3 linked regions of the Sus scrofa genome follow. The protein of the gene in region 3 purifies or fractionates together with the protein of the main gene of each other region. This does not show direct contact. Links are inferred from orthologs where the notes say so. Each region holds a gene or a part of one and is shown on either strand. Other genes may lie near its edges.

Region 1 (3,646 bases), on a different chromosome or scaffold from region 3:
GGACTCTGTATAAGAACAGGTGGCACAGATTCAACTGGCAATAAATCATCCAAATGCGTCCTCTGCTTGCAGCCCCCACGTTTCACTGCCTCCTGCCTAACTTAGGGAAAAGGGGAGAGGGGCAAGGGAGTCACACGAGAAGGGCCAATAGCATCCTGTCCTGGCGCTATGACCAGCAAAACAAAAGCACAACCTGTCAGTCCTGTCATGAACACATCAATCAAGTGAACGGGCTTACAAACGTCTGCAATATTATCAGGTCCATTAATTCACTCCATGACTAACTGTAGCCTGATTTAATTAATTATTTCCACTGCTGGCATTAACTTCGCTGAAAACAGCAGAATGCCAACTGAGAAAGCAAGTGTATCCCAGTTCTTCGGATGACTTCACCACACACGGAAACGGTATGCTGCTTACCGTGGTCCAAGGTATAAAATACACTGTTCCTCACGCTGCATCTTCTCCAGGGCTTTATCAATTCCAATTGGAATGTCATGGTCTTCTCCTTCTCCAACGATGAACCCCACGTCTCTGCAATCAAACACCCTTCCACCACAGCGGCCTTCCAGGTGGACTAAGAGAGAGGAGATGGGACAGTCAACAGAGCAGCTCCTCGGGGCTGGCTAATTCAGGGAGGCGGTGAGTGACTATTTCTCCTGCCTAATTTTATCTAGAGATGTGCGTGGAATGTCCTGTCAAAGCTTAGTCCACCTAGACTGGAAATTTAGGAGCAATCATATCTTTTTCTGTTTTAAGTTTAAATTTATAATTACTGATAACTATCAATCAAGATAGTTTAGAGGACAAGAAAGTGGAAACACAGGTTTAACTTAAATCTACTATAGCACAGAGGTTTCCTCCACTATAACTCAAAAACAAGAAATACTAGATTATGGGGAGTTCCTGATGCGGCTCAGCGGGTTAGGAATCTAACATAGCAGGTTAGGAATCTGACACGTGAGGATGTGGGTTTGATCCCTGGCCTCGCTCAGGGGGTTAAAGATGCAGCATTGCCACAAGCTGAGGCACAGGCCTGCAGCTGTGGGTCCGATTTGACTTCTAGCCTGGGAACATCCATATGCCTCAGGTGCAGCTGTAAAAATAAAGAAAAGAAATGCTAGATGATGCAACAGGTAGTATCATGTATTAAACATTTTTTTTTTTTTTTTTTTTGTCTTTTGTTGTTGTTGCTATTTCTTGGGCCGCTCCCGCGGCATATGGAGGTTCCCAGGCTAGGGGTTGAATCGGAGCTGTAGCCACCGGCCTATGCCAGAGCCACAGCAACGCAGGATCCGAGCCGCGTCTGCAACCTACACCACAGCTCACAGCAACGCCGGATCGTTAACCCACTGAGCAAGGGCAGGGACCGAACCCGCAACCTCATGGTTCCTAGTCGGATTCGTTAACCACTGCGCCACGACGGGAACTCCGTATTAAACATTTATAATGGCATCTTGGACTCAGATGCTTTGGTTGAAAAACACCTGAACAATGGAGTTCCTGCTGTGGCACAACGAGGTCAGCAGCATCGCTGCAGCACCAAGATGCTGGATTGATCCCTGGCCCAGCACAGTGGGTTAAAGATCTGGCATTGCCACAGCTGTGGCATAGGTCATAACTTTGGCTCAGATCTGATCCCTGGCCTAGGAATGCCATATGCTGCAAGGCAGCACCCCCCGCCAAAAAAAAAAAGGAAAGAAAAAAACCAAATGGCTATATCCCCAGTGATATTCAAGGGTTAACTGAATACAGAAGCTTTTTTTTTTTTTAATTTCATTCACAAATATGTTTGAATAAAAACAGAAAACCCAAAGGCAACATCATCAATAACTAACACACTGTGATCACTCAGTGGGGTAATACATGTAAAATGTGAAGGAGTCAAGAGTCTGCTGTAACTCACCCATCAACTCTTGAGACGTTAAGCAAAGAAGTCAGTTTCTCAGGGCCTACTTCCCACTCCACTCACACCCACTCGGCTCATTCCCAGGCTGGTTTCGTATTACATGAGGGGCTTTTACGTTAAGACCAAATAGGAAAGACACATATTATGCCCTTTTCTTGTGGCATAAACCACTCTCTGAAACTTTCAAACTACCTTTAATGTTAAGGATATTCATTCCTTTCCATTTAGGCCTTTGACTCAGGTAGAAACATGGGTGGCTTGTATGACAACAGAACAGTCAACAAGCAATATAATAATTTATCTTTCATAGGAAAATTCTTTATTCCCACTTCTCTAATATAATGGCTTTGATTCAAATGTAACAAATTCCTAAAATGCTTCTTTTCTAGGACTGGTTGGTCTACTTTAGATTAATAACTTGTTTTAGAGGCAAAAAAAAAAAAACCAAAAACAAACCTACTTGTTCTGTAACACTTGTTCCATGAGACAATTATTTTCTAAATACAAATTCAATTCCAACTTACTCTACTTTTGAAATACTTGATCTCAAACGTCCTTTGAAGGTCTAAGATTCGATGATTCTCTATGACCCAGTGATACAACTCTTGACATAGGCCAGAAACCAGCTTCAAAGCTGATTCCTGCAGTTAATCATTTGATCGCGTTACCTCTAGCCCAAGCCTGGGAAAGGAGAGAAACCCTGAAGAGTAAACAGCAGTGGCACAGACACCAGGGGCCAAAATGTCCCATGGTCGTTTATGCTTTGAAGCTCTCTACCCTTTTCTAAATCACAATTGATAGCATCCCATTGTTCCCACTGCAGACCCAGGATGGAGTCTAAGATGCTTGGGCCAAACTAGAGCAGGCCTGACTCTCGAGTCAAACGCTCTGAGCAGGCCAAGGGCTAGGCTGACTGTCAGGGTGGAGCCAACACACAGGAATTTTGTTCAGGGACCATGCTCACGAATGCAGATGACCCTATTTCATTCACTTTGGGAATGTTCTAGATAAAACACAACGGAGCTCACAGCACAATGAGAGTTCCTTTGATTGGAAATTAGTTTCAAAATAAATTTAACTTTATTATTTTCTGGAGTTCCCATCGTGGCACAGTGGAAATGAATCCGACTAGGAACCATGAGGTTGAGGGTTCAAACCCTGGCCTCGCTCAGTGGGTTAAGGATCTGGCGTTGCCGTGAGCTGTGGTGTAGCTTGCAGACGCGGCTCAGATCTGGCATTGCTGTGGCTGTGGCATAGGCTGACGGCTACAGCTCCGATTAGACCCCTGGCCTGGGAACCTCCATATGGCGCGGGTACAGCCCTAAAAAGACAAAAAAAAAAAAAAAAATTCAACTTTATTATTTTCAAATACATGCTAGAGAGGTTCTGAGGGAATCCAAGGCTTAAGATATTTTTACTAGAGTAAATGCTCATGTTTCTGAAGAATTTTGTGAGTTATGAAAAGTTTGTGTTCTCATATATTTTAAAATCTGCCCAGGGAATTTAATTTAGATTAACATGATGACACTTTTCATGAAAAAAGATTTGCTGAGCAAAGTGAATTTCAGCCCACACATTGTAAAATATTGCAAGTATTGAGATTTATTATCCTAGTAGCTCACAACTTAGATGACAGATCTTTTTATGTGAGGTTTATTGTTAGAAGCATTTTCCTCCCTGAAGGAGAGTACATTTAGTGGGGGAGGAAACTATCAGTACATTCGTTGTGGTTTTTGG
Region 2 (3,646 bases), on a different chromosome or scaffold from region 3:
TGTGAAAATCAGCCATCTCTCATCTGTCCTGTTCTGTAACTCCCTTCCCAATTCAAGGACCTTTGGCCAGAACAGTGGAGAGAGACTAGATCTTGACATCTTGACCCTGCTGAGGCTGCGTAGCAGTCTGGGTCTGGGCTAGACGCTCACTGAACGACACCAGCAACGCAACTATTAGCCCGGGGAGCCAGGCTGGGAGGACCACTGGGTGTGCAGAGAATCACCTCCCAGCAAGCCCATCTCTTCTTGGGCAGTAAGCTCTTCCTCTGGAAACGGGTGTCACTGGGTCCATAATCCACTTTCTCTGCCTTTCTCCCCTTTAAGTGACACCTCCACCCAACCTCTCACCCTCTGACGCTACTGCTTTTCACATCCCGCACAGCTCTGGCCCTTCTTGGAAGCATGGACCTGGAGCAGCTCTCGGGCTGGAGGAGTGGCTCTGCTGATGCCCCCCTTCCCCCACCCACCCCCAGGACCCCCCCACCCCCCCGCCCCCCGCAGCGCACCTTCGCTGATCTGCCGCATGTCCTGGCTGTTCTGGATGCTGTGGATCATCTCCAGCAGCACCTCCTTCTCCTGCTCCACGGCAGTGGCCGCTTCTCGCAGAGCTTCCACCCTGGGGACCAAGGGGGGCCAGATGTTATAACCCAGACAGCAGAACGGCTGCCTCATCTCCCCATCCCTCAGTCCAACTCACGGTTAAAGATGGTTAACCAAAAATGCCGTATTCCTTGTTTTCTGTGCTTTTAAGTTTTCTTTTTAATCCACTTGCCCTGCTGCTCCCATTTTCCTCCCCACTCACTGGGCAATAGTTCTGTTTAGCGTTTATTTATTTGTATTTGCTCTACAAAAAAACGGAATACTTGTGTGCTCGCCTATTTTCAACTTATTTATATCTCACTGTTTCTGCCCTCACGCAGTGTATTTTATGACGAAGCACCAGGTTCCTCCGAGTACGTGTAATCAGGAGCTCCTAGGTCTCGCATAAAATGCCACCTTGTGTCCCCACCTGACCTGACCTCCCCGACCCAGTAGAGATGTACCTCGGCGCCAGTTTTTCGTCACCTCCAGTAACAGGTCAATGACAACCTGTCCTCTCGGGGCCCTGATAACAGGCACCATCCCAGGGCAGGGCGGCTTCCTCGCAGGGTGTGCGGACCCTTCATGCAGCTCCATTCTGGATTGTTCTCCAGAAAGCCCCTGGGTCCCCACAGCCCTATCAAAGCTCAGCATTTCCCAACTTTCTAACCTTCTGCTGTCAGTGTAGTAGGTGCTGCGTCAGTACTTAATCTGCCCTTCTTTCATTACTCATCACTTTGGACATCTCTCCGTATCCTTGTGAGGCTGTTCGCAGCCTTTGCCTATCTTGCTTTTTCTTTTTGCACACTGGGGTTACTGTCCCCCTGCCATGTGCACACTCAAGGCGTTAATGCCCTGTTGGTGACAGGCCCTGCAACCACCTTCTCCCATCCTGTCCCCTGTGAAGTGTGTCTGGGCGTCCTTCATGGAGCAGAAGGCCTTGTTCTGAAGGGGTCAGGTCCATCTCTGCTTGGTTTGGTTTTACCTCACGGCTCATATCGGGAAGTTTTGCTGCAGGGCCCTCCCCTCCCCAGGTCCTGAGACGCTTTCCTGCACCCCCGTCTACTAACGTCTGACTTCACCTTTCCATGCTTATGTCCTAATCCACCTAGAATCCACCTTGTGTGTGTGGCTAGGGGAGATGTGTTTCTTTTTCTCCATATAGTGAACCATTTTCTCCAACGTTATCCATCCCCAAATCCATCTTTCCCTCAATGATTTGTAGATTGTCTGCCTCTGAAGTCTCTATTCCATCTTTCGGCACTGTGCCTGTTGTTATACCAACACCCTTTGCTTTTTCTTTTTAGGGCCGCACCCGAGGCACATGGAGGTTCCCAGGCTAGGGGTCAGATAGGAGCTGCAGCTGCAGGCCTACACCACGGCCACAGCCACGCCAGATCTGAGCCGCATCTTCGACTTACACCACAAAGCACAGCAATGCTGGATCCTTAACCCACTGAGTAAGGCCAGGGATCAAACCTCAAGGATCCTAGTTGGATTTGTTTCCCCTGAGCCACAACGGGAACTCCCTGAAGTACTGATGGTAGTTGTACAGACTCTTTTAAGTGTTTTGATACTTTGGATAGTGTTGGTATTGGGAATAATACATTTCTATATACTGCATTTTCTAGTTGGCTATTGCTGGTTGGAAAAAAAAATGCTGTTTTTGTAGTTCATGTTGTAGCTGCCACCTTAACACTTATTCACTTAATGGTTTGATTTTTGATTCCATTGGTTCTTCTAGATGGATGATCATATATATCATCTGCAAAAACGATAATCCTTATCTGTGCCTTTTTAATCCTCTTAGCTCCTATTTTTCTTTCTCATAGTACTGACCAAAGCCCTCCTATATAATATCAAACAATGGCCAGCACGGTGGGTTAAGGATCCAGTGTTGCTGAGCTGTGGCATTGGTTGCAGCTGCAGCTCGGATCTGATCCCTGGCCTGGGAATCCACATGCCCTGGGGCGGCCAAAAAAGAAAAAGAAAAAAAGCCCAAACGATGGTGATGAGCAAGGGCATGTTTGCCTTCTCCGAATTTAAAGAGAATGCCTCTGTGGGTTTTGGGTACGATGCCCTAATCAAACTATCAAAGCACCACTTCCCCCAACCCTACACAGGCACCGACTACGGACTCAGCCAGTCACTAAAGAACCAGGTTGTGGAATCAGGGGAGAAGAAAACAAAATCCTGTGTGTTTAAGGTGCTCTGTTTCCAGGGCATTTTCTTACATATATTACACCACAACTAAACAAGTTGCTGACTTTTGCAAAATAAATAGTGACAGATGTAGCTCCAACACTCAGGCGGCCTTGGAAGCACAAGATCACAGACCTCATCCCGACCGTGCCCTCCGTGGGCGCAGAAGGAACCACCAGGCAGTGTGAGCACAGGCCATATACGGATGGCCCTTCCCCACCAGCCACACGCAGGCCTTCTTCCCAATGGGCACCCACCTGTTGTCCCCCGAAATAGCACCGACAGACAGACGGTAGTCACAGGGTCTGAATTCATCAAGATACTAAATATACGCTGGACTCTGTGTTTATAAGAGCCAGCAGGAGCAAAGAGCGAGGAAGAATCTTATGTGACAAATTTAGCTGGAAAATGCAATCAAAACCAATAGTCTATCAAACAGTAAGAGCGCAGCATGAGGCTGTGTTCCAGCCCATTCATTACAGACTCGTGCCCTTTAATACACACTAGGGAATAGAAACTGGAATCTTCTAATATAACCTAGGGAACCTCAGGCACATACTCTAGAGCCTGGCACACACCAAAAGGGTCAGCTTGGCACCAAAAATGAGACATTCATGAAAAACAAAACATGACTCCAGCATTTCAATGGCACCAAAGAATTACTTGATTGGTAAATGAGAAGATGCCGACAGAAGAGATGAATTTTCCAGCCCTCCTGAGCCTGTATGCACATGTAGGATGATAAAGAGAGAACTGAGAGTTACTCTACAGAAGGAGGCCCATTTATGAGCGTAAGTTTCAACACGAAGCTCATGGGTTGTTAACAAGAAAGTGGTTTGAAAAGAGACGCTTTAGACAAAAATAT
Region 3 (4,398 bases):
ATGTGTCATGCTCACCAGGGCAGCTCTAGGAATCAGTACTATGCTTTCCCCCATTCTGCACATGAGGAAATAGGCTCAGGGGGACGAAGTGACTCGTCCAAAGCCACAAGGGATTGGGAGGGGCAGGACAGCAGGAAGAGTCCTTGCTCTTCTCTTAACCACACAATGAGGAGCAAATGAGACAGTGAAGAAACAACTAAATCTCCGACGTGCTGAGCCAGCAGCTGGTGAGGCACTGAAATACCAAATATAAAGCAAAGCAAAGTGGGAGTTCCTGCTGTGGTGCGACGGGATCAGTGGTGTCTCTGATGCACCGGGATGCAGGTTTGATCCCTGGCCCGGCACTGTGGGCTAAAGATCCGGCGTTGTGGCAACTGTGGCGTAGGTCGCAAAGGCAGCTCAGATCTGATCCCTGGCCCGGGAACTCCATATGCCTCAGGGCAGCCAAAAAAGAAAAAATAAATTACTTAATTTTTTTTTTTAAAAAGCAGAGTTCCTGTTGTGGCTCAGTGGTAACAAACCCGACGAGTAATCCACGAGGACGCGGGTTCGATCCCTGGCCTTGCGCAGTGGGTTAAGGATCCAGCAGTGCCGTGAGCAGTGGTGTAGGTGACAGACACAGCTCGGATGCGGCACTCCTGTGGCTGTAGTGTAGGCCGGCAGCTGTAGCTCCGATTGGACCTCTAGCCTGGGAACCTCCATATGCCACAGGTGCGGCCCTAAAAAGCAACAAACAAACAAACCCAAAGTTAAGGAGCCCTAAAGCAGAGGAATAAATGGAGGGCGAGCAAGGCCCACACCGCAGATGGAAAATGAGGAAACGGAGGAAGGAGAGAGCGGACAACCTGTTGAAATAACAAAAAAACAAAACAGACGGCGTCCAGGAGGAGAGGATGACTTGAGTCCCAAGAAGAAAATGAGCTGCTGACCTTATGGGCCCGCGAGCCGATGAAGGGATGAGGCAAAGGCTAGTTGGAGTCACTGAATGAAGGGAAGAAGGCTACGGGAGACGATGCCACAGCAGCGTGGAGGAGTCAGATGACTCCGGGATGGGATGGACAGCTGGGCCCCCAGTGGGGGTTGGGGGGGTGCCACGCTTACCCCTTGATGAGCCGGTAGACCACGCAGCAATCCTGATTGAGACCTCGCACCTTGAGGGCCTTGTCCAGAGAGTCGTAGACACTCATGCCATCCCGGACAGTCACCTGCGTGTGCGCACAGATGTGAGGAGTCGGTGCCCCACGGGGTCCCCAGCCCTCGGCAAAGGCGTGCTCCCAGCCCCTGTCACCTTTCTGATCCACGATGTCCAACCGGGTCCCTGCCCACCCCTGGCCAGCTTTGCTCCCGTCAGACTCACCACCGTGCGCTGCTTGTTGGGCAGGTACACTTTGACGGTGCCCACTGCCCGGGACGGCTCGGCCCCGTTGGCAGGGGGGCCCCGTGGTGGCTCCATGGAGCCTAGGACTTTGTCAAGACGGGCTCAGGTGGGGCTGGGCAGGTGCCATGGGGCTCCTGGAAGACAGAGGCGGAATGCAGTGGTCCGGGAACAATTGTTAGGAAGCAAAGTGGCAGAGGACAAAAAAACATTCAGTCCCCAGGCTCCACGTCTCCCCCTGTAGCCTAATACCCACACAGCTCAAGGGATCCAGTTCTTCCTCGGCCCAGCCCCTCCTGTTGTTTGTCTCACCCTTAAGTGCCAAGGTCTCCATTTCACTGCATAGGGCGGGGTGGGGTGGGGGTTAGGACATAAAGAGAGGCAGCACACACTGTCCTGGAGGCCACAGGAGCACACGAAGTCTCTGGGCTGGGGACTAACGGGGAAGTCAGCATGCACTGCACTGGGGCGTGTCAGGTACATAATGGACATGAACAGGCTGTCCTGGCTTTCTCATGGAGGAGGGGTTACCAGATACTGTGGGGTGGGAGGAGTCACAGACAGGGTGCCCTGAGTTTGGGGGAAAGGGGCATTGCACCAAACAATGTTCTTAAGGGCGCCGGGGGCACCCCAAAGCCCTTGGGGTGTAATGATGGTAGACTCACGGACCCTGTGTTAGGTGGCAAATGGCAGTCAGCAGACTGTGATGGGGGGTTCACAGAGGCTCCGCAGACACAATGCTGAAGGGAGATGTGTTAGGGAATCACCAGGGACCGTAAAGGGGAGAAGAGCGGATAATGGGGGAAAGGAGGGACATGGAGCATCACCAGACCTGGTCGAGATGAGAGGTACAAGGGGGTAAAGTGGGGGTGGGGTGGAGGGCGCTCCAAACTCTCCCTGACAACGAAGGAAGGGCTCACAGACATACCACTGCTGCTACTGGAAGGAGGCTGGGAGTGGTTAAAGAGGAGTAAGGGGTGGGAGATCCTCAAACATTCTCCTAGTGGGTCGGACATTGATCCAGAATAAGAAAAGAGAGGAGTGAGCCCCGTCTTCATGCACTCCCCATTGCTGGTAAGAAAGTCTTCCCCTAACCTTAGAGAGATTAAGAAGGACTCCAAGCAAGACACACCACAACCCCAGCCCCATATACGGCCTGGCCCTGCCCACTGAGAGCCTTTCAGCTCTGCGCAGGCGCGCTGCTACACGCGACGGGCGAAACCATCCCCCGCAGCCTTGCACCCCTATTCCAGTCTACCCCCCCTCCCCGTGCTGTCGACGATGGTCTCGCCCCGGGTCAAACCACTCCTCCGGTTCCGGGCAGGGGGCGCCAAGGCCCGGGCGCAGCCATCCCGGAGCTGAGCTTTCGGTCCCGGCTCCTTACTCGTGCCCGGCGGTCGCTCCAGAAACCGAACCCTGCCGGGCCCGCCCTCACCTGTCACGCCGCTACAGCCGCCGCCGCCTCCATCTTGGGCCTCTCTTCTTGTTTCCTCACAGAGTCCGCCTCCACCGCCCCTCGGACTTTGGCCATTGGCTCCGCTGGACTCGGCCCTCCATTCTTATTGGATCAGGGTCACGCCTGTCAAGGCAGGACCCGCGGAATGTGGGTCGTGTTCCGGATTAGGAGGGGCTGCCTGAAACGTCAGGGTCTAGGGCAAATTCGCACGTCCGGGCTCGCGCAGGCGCAGTTGGGAAGAGACCTGCGTGCCATGGGCTTTAACCCCAATCGTGCCATGATGGAATAAAGCAGAGCTATTTTTGTGGGGAGGGGAGGGTCACTAGGGGCTAACTTTAGGAGTTTCCGAATCTGAACGGGGAATCCTCAAGGGCCCTTTTTCACTCCAGTGACCCTGTGCCCAACTACTCATTTGGGACTTTCCTGTGTCTCAGTTTTACCGTCTTTGAAATGGGTTGGAATCAGAAAAAAAAATCTCTGCAGCGTTTTCCGGTTCTAGGAGACTGTAATCATAACCTTTGATAAGAGTGGGTCTCTGGTGTGGCCAGGGCAGGGGGGTCTGGCCCTAGGAGTGAAGGCCTGCTTGCTGTTTGGGGAGGCTTCCTTTAGGAATGGAGTTGATAAGGATTTTCAAAGACTAATCAGGGATGGTCAGGTGAAGAGGGGAGGGAAGTGCGAACCTGAGATGAGGCATAACTGCAGGGAAGCGTGTGTACGGTAAACACAAAGTCTTTTTTTAAAGTTTACTTTTCCCTGGTGTCACAAGTGAAAGAGACTCGCCATCCTCCTTTTTCTTATTTTCTTTAGAAAACTCGTAAAATTTTTCTCTGTCCCTTGGAGAGGTCTGCGACTCTTTAAAAAAGCTAAATAGGCTTTCTGCCAGTTTTACAGTTCAGGAATGCTGTTCTTAAGGTCCTGGGAGCCAGGTCTTTGAAATGCAAAGGTAAACAGCGATTGGGCCTTATCTCCACCTGCGTAGGAATTTGACCTGGGCGGCTGGCTCCAAGTCATCACCTGCTTGTCAAAGAGATATGCGTTTTATTTTTCCTTTGCCTAAAGGCAGATGGCTACCCCAATTACCAGGTGAATTTGAGAGGAACTGTGTGTAGCGAGTGGTGCTGTCAAGTTCTGAAGACAAGTTATCATCTATCTTTAAGACCATGTAGGTCATGGGTTGTATCTGCCTGACTCTATGAAAGGAGGAGATTTCTTTCTCGGAAATCTCTTTAGTGAATTGCTTGTGATGCCCCTCACGGTCTGATTTAATGCTTATTCGATAATAAACCTATTCCGCTCTTCGCTACCTTTGTGGAGAGGATTTGCTGGGTTGGCATGCGATTTATTTGTAATGATTTCCCCAACAGTATGAACCGCCTGTTGTGTTTGAAGTGCATACCTTCTCCCATTAGGAGCCTCGGCATTCCTCTGCAACGCAATGGGAAAAGATCAAAGAAAGGGCATTAGGTGAGGGGGCCTCAACACACTTCAACTTGTATTTATTGAGGGTGTTCTCTGTCTATAAAGAGAAAGACAAAAGTACAGCTCAATGGGCTGTCATATTAACCTC

Evidence for each region.
Region 1: the proteins of ARAF (region 3) and FKBP5 purify together in Homo sapiens (affinity purification with mass spectrometry; 4 studies listed by BioGRID and IntAct, with this or other methods). This does not show direct contact. The link is inferred for Sus scrofa from reciprocal best matches to the Homo sapiens genes ARAF and FKBP5.
Region 2: the proteins of ARAF (region 3) and BAG2 purify together in Homo sapiens (affinity purification with mass spectrometry; 3 studies listed by BioGRID and IntAct, with this or other methods). This does not show direct contact. The link is inferred for Sus scrofa from reciprocal best matches to the Homo sapiens genes ARAF and BAG2.

What each region holds. Positions count from the first base shown.
Region 1 is NC_010449.5:31,462,798-31,466,443, forward strand, and holds part of FKBP5 (FK506 binding protein 5), read right to left. Parts: intron 643-3,646; exon of another isoform or gene 578-642; coding exon 421-577; intron 1-420. UniProt on the Homo sapiens protein: Immunophilin protein with PPIase and co-chaperone activities. Component of unligated steroid receptors heterocomplexes through interaction with heat-shock protein 90 (HSP90).
Region 2 is NC_010449.5:28,670,407-28,674,052, forward strand, and holds part of BAG2 (BAG family molecular chaperone regulator 2), read right to left. Parts: intron 617-3,646; coding exon 507-616; intron 1-506. UniProt on the Homo sapiens protein: Co-chaperone for HSP70 and HSC70 chaperone proteins. Acts as a nucleotide-exchange factor (NEF) promoting the release of ADP from the HSP70 and HSC70 proteins thereby triggering client/substrate protein release.
Region 3 is NC_010461.5:42,076,665-42,081,062, reverse strand, and holds the start of ARAF (serine/threonine-protein kinase A-Raf), read right to left. Parts: upstream 2,862-4,398; 5' UTR 2,811-2,861; intron 2,587-2,810; exon of another isoform or gene 1,688-2,586; intron 1,513-1,687; 5' UTR 1,454-1,512; coding exon 1,358-1,453; intron 1,206-1,357; coding exon 1,102-1,205; intron 1-1,101. UniProt on the Homo sapiens protein: Involved in the transduction of mitogenic signals from the cell membrane to the nucleus. May also regulate the TOR signaling cascade. Phosphorylates PFKFB2.